3 linked regions of the Coturnix japonica genome follow. The main gene of each other region encodes a partner of the protein of the gene in region 2 in a complex. Links are inferred from orthologs where the notes say so. Each region holds a gene or a part of one and is shown on either strand. Other genes may lie near its edges. The genes, in order: RAN, XPO1 and PKIA.

Region 1 (2,669 bases), on a different chromosome or scaffold from region 2:
GTTTTTTTTACAGCTCAATGTGCCATTATAATGTTTGATGTAACATCAAGAGTTACTTACAAGAATGTACCCAACTGGCATAGAGACCTGGTACGGGTATGTGAAAACATCCCTATAGTGTTGTGTGGCAACAAAGTGGATATTAAGGACAGAAAAGTCAAGGCAAAATCCATTGTCTTCCACAGGAAGAAGAATCTTCAGGTATGATGGCGTGAGTTCACAGGATTAGAGATACATTAAGTCTGTTAACTACATTTGAGTGCTATTCAGTCCTTCAGTGTTGGGAATAAGATGAAATTAGACCAAGTCACAGGAAAAAGAGGCACTATTGCATCCTGAAATCACCTTTGAGCAAATCACCTTTAAGCACCTTATGTTTAAGAGTATCAATTTCTGCCTATTGGCCTGAAACTCTGCATTTCTAATGTCTCATATCTCAGGTGCTTCTGAGGGCATTGACAGAAGTCATGCAGTTAAAAAGAATACTAAAGCACACCTGAGCTGATTGTGTGCAAGTTATTATATTGTAGGTATCGGTGGCAGACTCTTATTGAATATTCTATTTTTTTTTTCCTAGTATTATGACATTTCAGCCAAGAGTAACTACAACTTTGAGAAGCCGTTCCTCTGGCTTGCTAGGAAGCTAATCGGAGATCCTAACTTGGAATTTGTTGCCATGCCTGCTCTTGCACCACCTGAAGTTGTTATGGACCCAGCACTGGCAGCACAGTATGAGCAAGACTTACAGGTAAGTGAGGAAGAGTGCTGAAGTCAAATGACTGACAGATAAGTACCTGGATTCCTGGGGCAAGTAACCAAGAACAATTCTCAAACGTTACTTCTCTATTCCAGATTGCTCAAACCACTGCACTGCCAGATGAAGATGATGACCTGTGAGGGATGAAGCTGGAGCCCAGCGTCAGAAGTCTAGTTTTATAGGCAACTGTCCTGTGATGTCAGTGGTGCAGCGTGTTTGCCACTTTATTATCTAGCTGAGCAGAACATGTGCTTAATCTTTGGGATGCTGAAAGAGATGAATGGGCTTCGGAGTGAATGTGGCAGTTCAAAACAAAAACCCCAACAAAACTTCATGATTTTGGACCTGCATATTTAGCTGTTTTTTGGACTGCAATTATTTCCCTTTTGAGTTTCAAATATAAGACTGCTGCAGTCACATCAAAGTGTTATGTGGTAAATCTTGTTTCTGTCATTCCCATTCTTTTTTTTTTTTTTTTGTTTAGATAATAAAGTTGTATTTCAAATATCTCTAAGCAAGTGAATTTTCATGCGTTGTTAGAAAAAGTCTTGAAAAGCCTCTTAACTGAGGCTCGTACTTGTCTGTCTCTGCATCCTTAGTATCTTCTTCCTTTTGTTATGCTCCTCTTACTCAATCAGAGCTAACAGTTAACCTTCCATTGATTTCCTGAAGCATGTAACTAAAGTGCCCAAGGGAAGCTGAACTAACTGCCAGGTAAAACTAAAGCAGTGAACACTTGACTGGTAAGTGGAGCTTGATTGCCCGATAAGCATAAATCAACCCATACCAAGTGGGATGTTTATGTGGTTGGTGGAGCATCTTGAGAGTTAAGTGTGTAGTTCAGCTTCCATCTGCTACCTTTCAATACTCTCAACTTTTAACTGCACTACAACATGCCTTCACAGAGCAGTTTTCTGAAGTAGCCAAGAATAAATGATATTTAGGTCTGTTAAATGACTACAAACTATCTTTGCATGGAGCATCATTCAGTAGAGCTATAGTTGATTAAACTCAGCATCCTAAAACTCACTAACTAGGAAACTTGTAGATGAGCTTAAAGTGCTCTTGGCTAAAGAACAGCATATTAACTAAAACCCCATATAACTCCTAGACTCCTAGACTTGACTGTAACTTCTTAAATTGAAACTAGCTTATTACAACAGCACAAAAGATGAAAGATGTCAACACTTACAGAGAATAATCTTGGTCAATCCTGGTACTATTAATGAACAGAATACCATTTTTCAGTAGTGTTTGAGTATGTGAAGCCTTGGAACTCTTCAGTTTTGTATTTTTGGTTTCTTAATAAAGTGGAGCATTTCATTCCTTCTAACTCGCATGTTTGTATACGTAACTCCTACCTGAGTATCTCTTTAACACTTCATTCAGATGCGTATCAGCAAAAACTGACTATTAAATGTTTGAGAACAATATTCTGTAATTGGTGTAAAGTTCAAGTTCTGTGGGTTTGAGTTACTGAGATTCTGAGCACTTCAGCTCACTGAGACTCACTAAGGGGAAATGAGGAACATCACACCAGCCTTGGGAAAGTAGAAGCTGACATAACATCCCACTGGATCTTCCTGCTGCATCACCACGCTTCAGCTTTGTATTAGAGTTGTGGAGTTTACTAACTCGTGTGTGCCTTGGTTTCTGCTGCTGGCTTCAGCACCTGCTGCTGATTTACTCATCTTTAAGAAAATAGCTACTATGAGATTCCTGAACATTAATACAAAGCCCTCAGAAACAGGCAGTAAACCCATCCTGCAAAGTAAACCTCCAAACTGTTTCAGGAGCTGGATTACATACATTGCAGTATTGGAGTTTCCTTTTTGTATTTAACTGCAGCCTGTGCTGATGTGAATGTGCAACTTCCTCAGCTGCAGTTTGTTAAAACTAAAAGGTTTGCAGC
Region 2 (3,751 bases):
CAAAGGAATTGTAGAGCGTATTCATTAAGCATATTATGTTCTGTGAGTAGCACTTCATTTTAAAGGTTATAGTACTTCAAGTGTAAGAACACAGCTTAGCAACTTACACCCATACCAAAGTTTATCACCCATATCTCGTTTATACACAGGAGAGTATATTCAGAACCGTTAAGGACATGATAAAACTTCCCAAAACACCACAGCACCCAAATCTCTATTACAGCTCGGCATTTAATCTCTATTACAGCTCAGAATTTACAGAGATGGCAAAGAAGCGGATGCTGCACTGGACGCACCACAAGGAGCCGGACAGGGCCGTGCTGGAGGTGGGGCAGCGCTCAGTCCTCCCCCACATCCTCCCCTTCCACTGAGGGGACACAGCCTCATCTGCGAGATAGAGGCACTTCGCCACCCACCTCCCTGAGGCGAGGGCGGCCGTGAGGTAAAGCCCGCCATCGCAACACAGTCCGCCGCCGCCGCCCCGTTCTCTCGGCGCTGTGTTTTTCCACAGCCATCGGCAACACAACGGCCCAGCGGCAACACAACGGCCCATCGGACCGAACGGACCGAACGCCACCCTCCACGGCAGGGCAGCGCACAGGCCGCGCTCTCGGCGCCGAGCTGCGAACCAATAGAAAGGCAGTTTGTTCCTCCGCCCGCCGTTTGAGAACTTGAAGGCGGGCCATCCTCTGACTGACAGCTCGGCTCGGCCAATCAGCGCGCAGCAGCCCGCCCCTCGCGCGCTGTCGGGGAGGGGGCGGATCCCGTCTGTCCAATCCTCGCTCGTCGCCGCTCGCTCCCCGCACGCCTCCGAGGGGCTCAGCGGATTGACGTGCCGCCCGCCCAATGAGCGCGCAGGTCGCTCGCTAGGCGCCATCGCTCGGGACCAATGGGAGCGCTCGCTGGGCGGAGGCCTGAGGTTTCCAAACGCTCCGCGGCGCCATGGGCTGAAAACTAAACCGAGATGGAATCTCCCAGTCTGAACCGGTTTGAGCCGGTTCCGAGCCTGTGGCATTAGGAGGGGGAGAGGCGCCGCGCTCAGTCGCCGTTGCTCTCGCTGCCGCCGCCGCGCGTCCCGCTGACGGGGGAGCTCGTGGGGGGAGCCGCCGGCGCAGCTGAGGGACGAAGTTTAGCGCTGAGCGGGGGGGAGGGGGGGATGGGCACGGGGCCGAACTGAGGGCCCGCCAGGCCGAAGGAAGGGCGGCAGGCGCGGGAGGAGCAGCCGCGAGGGCCCAGGCCTGGAGCCAGCCGAGCGGGACGCAGCCGAGTCGTCACGCAGCCGCGGCCGCACAGCAGGTAGAGTTACCCCGAGCTGCGCCGGGAGGCGGCGGCGCCGCATCGAGCTCCGTGTCTCTCCCCTCCCCCGAGGCGCCTCGCGACCACGCGCCGGGCCCGAAGGGCGCATTGCGGCCGGTTGGGGCCGCCGGGCCGGGGCCGAGCCGAGCCCTGCCGTGCTGTGCCCTGCCGTGCTGTGCCGTGCTGTGCCGGGCCAGGCCGGGACGAGCGGGAGCAGGAACGGCGCCGGCGGGGGCCGGGTGTGTGGAGCCTCCTCTTACCTCGGTTTTAATTTTTTTTTAGGGGAGGGTGGCTTTTTATTTTCCTCTCCATTGTTATATTTTTTGCCGTGAGGTTAGGAACCCGAATCCCCCACCCCTTACTTTCTGAAGCAAAAGGTCACAGAAGCATTAAGGTGAGCGGGCGGAGCGGGAAAAGCGGTGGGGCCGGGGCCGGTGGGGCGTCCCGAGGAGCCCGGCAGGCAGGGAACGGGCGCGGGGAGCGGCGGGGCCCTCAGTGTGTGAATTATTAGGAGTGGAAGTTTCCAGAAATATTTTGGTGTGTCTGTGCAGCAGTATTGAAACGTCCGCCCGCGTCACGTGGGGGCCCCGTATAGAACGCGGGCAGGGAGGGAGGGGCCGCTCCGCAAGGCCGGGCCTCTGTCCCTGCCGGGGCCGCCGTGTCCCGGGAAGGCGCTGGGCCGTCGGCGTGCGCCGTTCACGCATAGATGAAGGGGCGAACTCCAGCCACGCTGTGTTGGATGCCGTGCGCACGGGGTGGCTCTCGGCGAGGGGCGGTGGGTAGATTGCCCGCCTCGAGTGATCGTCCCGGGGAGCCTCGTGTAGTCGCGTAGAAGCCGTGCTGCAGAGAATGCTGCTTGCTGTGAAATGATTGTTTTGTTTCTCCACAGGATATACTGAGTTGAGTCTATATCAAGAAGAGAACTGTTGTGTAGAGCTGAAGGTCCTGTGTCGCTGAGAGTTGGGATAGCTGTGTAAAGTTTTTGACAAATGCAGTTCGTTTGACCTTCGGTAGATGTCATATTCTTACTACATTGTAGCTGAGATGTTTGTTTTTTTTCCCTCTAGTTTCTATTACCTCACTTATTGTTAATGGTGAAGAACTCTTTAGTGTTGACATGAGGATAGTGGTCTAAGAGCTGCTCACGTCCAGGTATTTTGGGATGAGTGTGCAGAAGAGCAGTGAATGGGAGGTGTGATGTGTGTGGTGTGTGCCCGGTGTTGGTAGTTGGAATTAGAGCCGGTTGCCGTTGATGGTGACCACAAAGCCGTTTCTGAGTCAGTTTGCTGGTAGGCAGGTCAGTGTGAAGATAATGCTGGGAGTGGCAAAGGACCCTGTTCAAAACATTTCCTTTTTGCCTTCATTTGGTTAATAGCTTCTGTTCATCACGTGGCTGTTCCTTTTGGTTCCTAGTGTTACCAGCCTAACTTCTGTCTGAATGAAACTTCTTAAGATCAACCTGATGTTAAGAAGCAGGTATTCTTCATTGTGCTGCAGGTGCGCGGATGATATTCCACCTATATCCATACTTGGTTCAGAAAATCTTCAGCTTATATACGATACTTGTGTTACATATGTAATGATTTTCCCAGCAAATGCATCCGTATGCAATACTATTTCCCAAAATCATTGGCGTTGTGTTCCACCTCCTTGCACATCCACCCTCCTTTTGTGGTGTTAGGGGTCCTGGGGGGGTATTTCTGGAACCGTGGTGGTAATCTCAGTATGTCCTTTAGTTGAACTCTGGTCTTTTTTTAACCTTATTAGGGATGGAAAGTTCCTTTGTGGGATACTTCGCTGGTTGCTGTACCAAGGACTAGCTGTAACCGGTTCTTATCTCAGTATTGGCCTTGTGGAGTGGTCTTGCTATGTAGGCAGGAACCTTCTGCAAACAATTCATCTCTGTTACCTAAAAACTGTCATAATGATTCATGGCATTAGGATAGTGTAAAAACTACTGAAAAAGGCCCAGGTGCACATTGTGTGCTTCTGTCCAAGGAACCATCAATGTAAAATGTTCTTAGAGTTCAGAAGCTGCTTCACTGGCTCATGCCACAGCCATGAGGGCAGATGTTGAGGATGAGGAAGCACGTGTGTCCGGCAGCACTATTAACGCCCTCAGTTGCATTGCCTGGTAGTGGGCTGGATTTCTTCGAGTGCTGCTGCTTGTTGCCTTTCTTCCAGGTGAAATTTTTAAGTACCCTTATAAGTTAGTGAAAGGAAATGAGCTTTTGCTGCTGTTCTGCTTGCTTCCATACTTAACAGTTCTGAAAGTTTTTGGAGTTGGGTGGAGATGTGTTGGCCAATTAATTTTGGTTTCTACTTGATGTTTATTTCCTCATGTTTTTCTGGGTAGGTATTGTATAAAGGTCAATAGGATGATGATGTTAGCATTTAAAAATGGTTACAGTAGTGCAGTAGTAATAGTTACATGAGTTCTTTTAAAGCAAAATAC
Region 3 (3,651 bases), on a different chromosome or scaffold from region 2:
TCATGTGTGTCAGACAGGCTTTCAGACAGTGCTGACCCCTTCCATTCTTTGGGTGTTTGTTGTTAACGTGTGGGGGTTTTTAATTTATTTTTTTATAAAGCAGTTTCCTGTTTCATACTGGTTGTTCATAGGAGTAAAATTACTATGTCAGCCATCCAGCATTTGACATGAGACACCAAAGCTTGATAGCCCTGAACTTTTTCAAATACGTCAGCCTTGCAGTGATACTTGATACAGTTATATTTAGTCTGGATAAAATATGGTTTAGAACCCTCTTTTGGCTTCTCAGGCAACTTACTTATAGCCCCTCATAAAGCTGATGAAGTTGTGGAGGTGAGGACTGGGGTGAAGATGAATGGCCAGAATTTGTGAAGATAATTCAGATCTAAGTGTAGGAATGAGTTGGCTGTTTTCTTACGTAGCTATTTAAATAAAGAGGTTATATGGAATGAAGGTGTTTTGTTGTTTTTTTTTCCTTTTTACTTAAAGAGTTTTATCTCTTGAATCATTTGCTGCTCTTAGTAGTGTCTTCCTCAGCATCCAGAAACTGTGTATAGTAGGAACTGCTTAAAAGCATTTGCACACAGCTAAACCTACCTCTTCTGGCCACGTTCTCTTTGCAGTATGTAAAGCCCAAGAAGTGCAGCTTAGAACTGAAGAAAGCATATAGCTTTGGGGGTGATGCTGCTGTGTAGTGGTTCCCCAGTGCTGCTTTTCTTCAGAGTACTGTTCCACCTGAAAGCTTCCATGATCATCCTCCTATATCCAGGCATAAAATGTAAAGAAGTTACATGTAAAGCCTGTTCATCTGGCGTTTTGCATGAAGCCTTAGTACAAATGGAGCTACATTAAAAGTGGCATCAGCAAAAGAAAGTTTTAACCCATCAGGTTAAAGCTGTGGCAGACAGTCCAGCAAAGATGCAAATATTTCTCTTAGTGAGGTTGAAATTCAAGTTTCCCCTATTGGCAAACTTTACATTAAGGCATATCATCACATATTCCATAATGACATGAAAAACAACTTCCATTGGAAAAGAATTCTGACCTATATCTAGCTTGCAGAACTTAGCATTTTAAGCTGTGCTTTATAGTTCAGCTCTTGTACTCTATTAGCTTATCTCCACTCACTTCATTGACTTTTTGGTAACGCATTCACTTTGGTGTAGCTACAGCACCAAAAAGAATTTGAAGGGGTCTATATACAAAGCCAAAATTAACCATACTAGAGGAAAAGCAAATGCACAAAACCTATCAGTGCCTGTGCATGAGCACATACTGTTATCAGTTTGTACTTTCTTAATCCTTGTGCTCTGCTTTTTGTGCAGAAAAGAACTTTGTTCCACCCCCTACCTTCCTCCTACTTCCCAGCTAATATTAAAAGCAGAGACAGCTCTATAAAGAAATTATGTTGCTGAGGTCATTGCTTTTAGAAAGTAGCACTTTATGAACTATGATAAATGAAGTTGTATAAAATGCCATTGAATACAAGTCGCATAAAATCCACACCTCACACTTTTTTGTTGTTGTTTTTTGTTTTTGATTTTGTTTTTGGCATTTCTTTATGTTTCTGCTCTAATTTCTCCAGATTTAAAGGTTGAGGTATCTCCTTTTGCTACACATCCAGTCCTCTGCTCAGTAAGAGCCCATAGTAAGAGTTCTTCTGCTCTGCTTCTATAACATCATCTGTTCTATTGGTCTTCTAAGTATTGGTGTTTTCTCTCACCCAGGTACTGCTATGTGGATATTTGTTAGCAATGACTGATGTGGAATCTACATATGCAGACTTCATTGCTTCAGGAAGAACAGGTAGAAGAAATGCACTACACGACATACTTGTGTCCTCTCCAGGTGGGAACTCTAGTGAACTAGCCTTAAAGCTATCAGAGCTGGATATAAATAAAGCAGGTGAGTGTGTTTTGGTCTTCTAATATGTTAATTAAAACTTCATGAGAAGAAATGTCCCTTTGAAGCATTCTTTTTTCTTGAAACTGGGATAAGCAGATGTTGCCTGCAATAAAAACACAGATTTCATAAAAGGCAAATAATTGTTACTGAAATAAGAAAGAACTTTCTGCAGTGAATGCTGGGTAGTTGAAGATAAATTTTATAGAAGATGAAGTAAAAAGAAAATGAGGAAGTATTTTTTAAGGCCCAGCTTATTAATAGTATCCTTTAAAAGGAATCTCTTTAATCTGAAGCTGGAAGGAGAGACCATATGCCTGCTTAAAAGTTTGTAGAGGTTAGTTTTGTTTTTAGGTACAAGAGGACAGAGAAATAGTGATGCATTGTTTGAATCTTTGCTTCCAGATGAGACATCTCTTCCCCTTTCTGATGGTGCTTTCTCCTTCTTTTAAGGTGATTAGCACTAATGCAGTCCTAAACCTAACTCCACTGCTAACGTTATCCAAAGTTTTAGCTGGTTGTGCACCTTCAACTGAGTGAAAGGAGGGACAGCGTACAGTGAAGTGCCTTACATTAAATAAAAACATTGACATGGCTTATATTTATTTTCTTGTCACTTGGTTGGGAACTAGTGAATGGATCTTAGAGGCCTTTTCAGGTTTCAGGAAAGGAGATATATGCTTATTTTAATAGCAGAAGAAAACAGATGCAGCAAAAAGCAAACTGTTGATAAGCAGCTCTCCTCTTTTGTGAAAATATCTTTCTCAGAGGTAGGCAAGAACTCAGAGAGACAATTTCATCACTGGACAATCATATCTGGTGGTATGAAATTGTAGTGGTTGTTCATTGACCTTCACAAACTCAATTAATCCTAAGTCCTTGCTTCTACCATTTCCACCTTTGGGCCTATAGTAGCTTTTAAATGCATGCACTCCTGTCAAAAAAGAAAAGGTTTTAATACATGAGCGTGTGTGTAGGGGCCTATTTATTCTAACGTGGGGATATGTCTAAAATGATGGACTGGTATTTGAAATACATTGTGCCAGCCTTCCTTCCTGCTTTGTTTCTTCAGGCTCAAATTTACACTGATTTTGTCTGATCTGCCTATTTAGAGAATATACGACTCCTGCTTTTCAGTTAGCTGTTGGAGTGCTTCTAAGCCAGAACTATGTTCTTTTGTGAACTATAAAAAGAATGTGACTTTGTACTTGTAATATACGTCAGTGTGCATTTTGCACATGCAGTTAACACTGTAGCGATGAAAATGGTTTAAATAACCATTCTCCTAAATGCTAATACATAATTCAGGGGTACATAGAATTGCTTATAAAATTACCTCAGGTGGTAGATATACAGAAATGGTAGCATACTTCTTTGGGCACGCAGTTTGAATTAGATGCAATGAAAATATACTTTTATTAGTAGTATACCTTGGCGCTGGACAAAAACCTCAAAACCAAAAATATTGGAAAATACATTGCATTGTCATTCCTGTGAGTATTACAGTGTTATCCTGTCCTGTCTTTCCAAACCTTACAAAACTACAGTTACAGTGGTTCTTTGTCCATAATAAGTTAACGACTTTCTAATATTCTCCTCTACCAAAACATATTTGGAACATATCTACCATATCAAAACATATCTACCAGAACATACCTACCAAAGAATGTACTTCAGTGCAGGAATGAGATGGAGGCTTCCTTATAAGAGTTGTGACTATCTACAAAAATGAAGATAGTAGAGAAGTAA

The links.
Region 1: the proteins of XPO1 (region 2) and RAN are in contact, whole or in part, in a crystal structure (PDB 7B51), measured with the Homo sapiens proteins. The link is inferred for Coturnix japonica from reciprocal best matches to the Homo sapiens genes XPO1 and RAN. Residues at the interface, in NP_003391.1 of Homo sapiens: Leu35, Tyr36, His37, Gln43, Arg44, Gln47, Leu50, Thr51, Lys54, Glu55, Asn74, Tyr77, Tyr78, Gln81, Lys124, Val125, Lys129, Met132, Leu173, Glu176, Glu177, Phe181, Gln185, Lys266, Thr269, Glu270, Asp313, Gln316, Asn317, Gln320; in NP_006316.1 of Homo sapiens: Lys12, Lys37, Lys38, Tyr39, Val40, Ala41, Leu43, Gly44, Val45, Val47, Trp64, Glu70, Lys71, Gly74, Leu75, Arg76, Asp77, Gly78, Tyr79, Ile81, Gln82, Val96, Pro102, Asn103, Arg106, Arg110, Val111, Glu113, Val124, Asp125.
Region 3: the proteins of XPO1 (region 2) and PKIA are in contact, whole or in part, in an NMR structure (PDB 2L1L), measured with the Homo sapiens proteins. The link is inferred for Coturnix japonica from reciprocal best matches to the Homo sapiens genes XPO1 and PKIA. Residues at the interface, in NP_003391.1 of Homo sapiens: Val518, Lys522, Leu525, Cys528, Glu529, Lys534, Lys537, Ala538, Ala541, Ile544, Phe554, His558, Lys560, Phe561, Thr564, Lys568, Phe572, Glu575, Thr576, Val580; in NP_006814.1 of Homo sapiens: Asn36, Leu38, Ala39, Lys41, Leu42, Ala43, Gly44, Leu45, Asp46, Ile47, Asn48, Glu51.

The regions. Positions count from the first base shown.
Region 1 is NC_029530.1:2,655,267-2,657,935, reverse strand, and holds the end of RAN (GTP-binding nuclear protein Ran), read left to right. Parts: intron 1-13; coding exon 14-201; intron 202-577; coding exon 578-748; intron 749-852; coding exon 853-897; 3' UTR 898-2,090; downstream 2,091-2,669. UniProt on the Homo sapiens protein: GTPase involved in nucleocytoplasmic transport, participating both to the import and the export from the nucleus of proteins and RNAs. Switches between a cytoplasmic GDP- and a nuclear GTP-bound state by nucleotide exchange and GTP hydrolysis.
Region 2 is NC_029518.1:5,186,723-5,190,473, forward strand, and holds the start of XPO1 (exportin-1), read left to right. Parts: upstream 1-1,015; 5' UTR 1,016-1,296; intron 1,297-1,578; exon of another isoform or gene 1,579-1,690; intron 1,691-2,424; exon of another isoform or gene 2,425-2,448; intron 2,449-3,751. Other genes in the region: uncharacterized protein LOC116653124, read right to left, coding at 417-1,015. UniProt on the Homo sapiens protein: Mediates the nuclear export of cellular proteins (cargos) bearing a leucine-rich nuclear export signal (NES) and of RNAs.
Region 3 is NC_029517.1:109,054,073-109,057,723, forward strand, and holds part of PKIA (cAMP-dependent protein kinase inhibitor alpha), read left to right. Parts: intron 1-1,727; 5' UTR 1,728-1,754; coding exon 1,755-1,905; intron 1,906-3,651. UniProt on the Homo sapiens protein: Extremely potent competitive inhibitor of cAMP-dependent protein kinase activity, this protein interacts with the catalytic subunit of the enzyme after the cAMP-induced dissociation of its regulatory chains.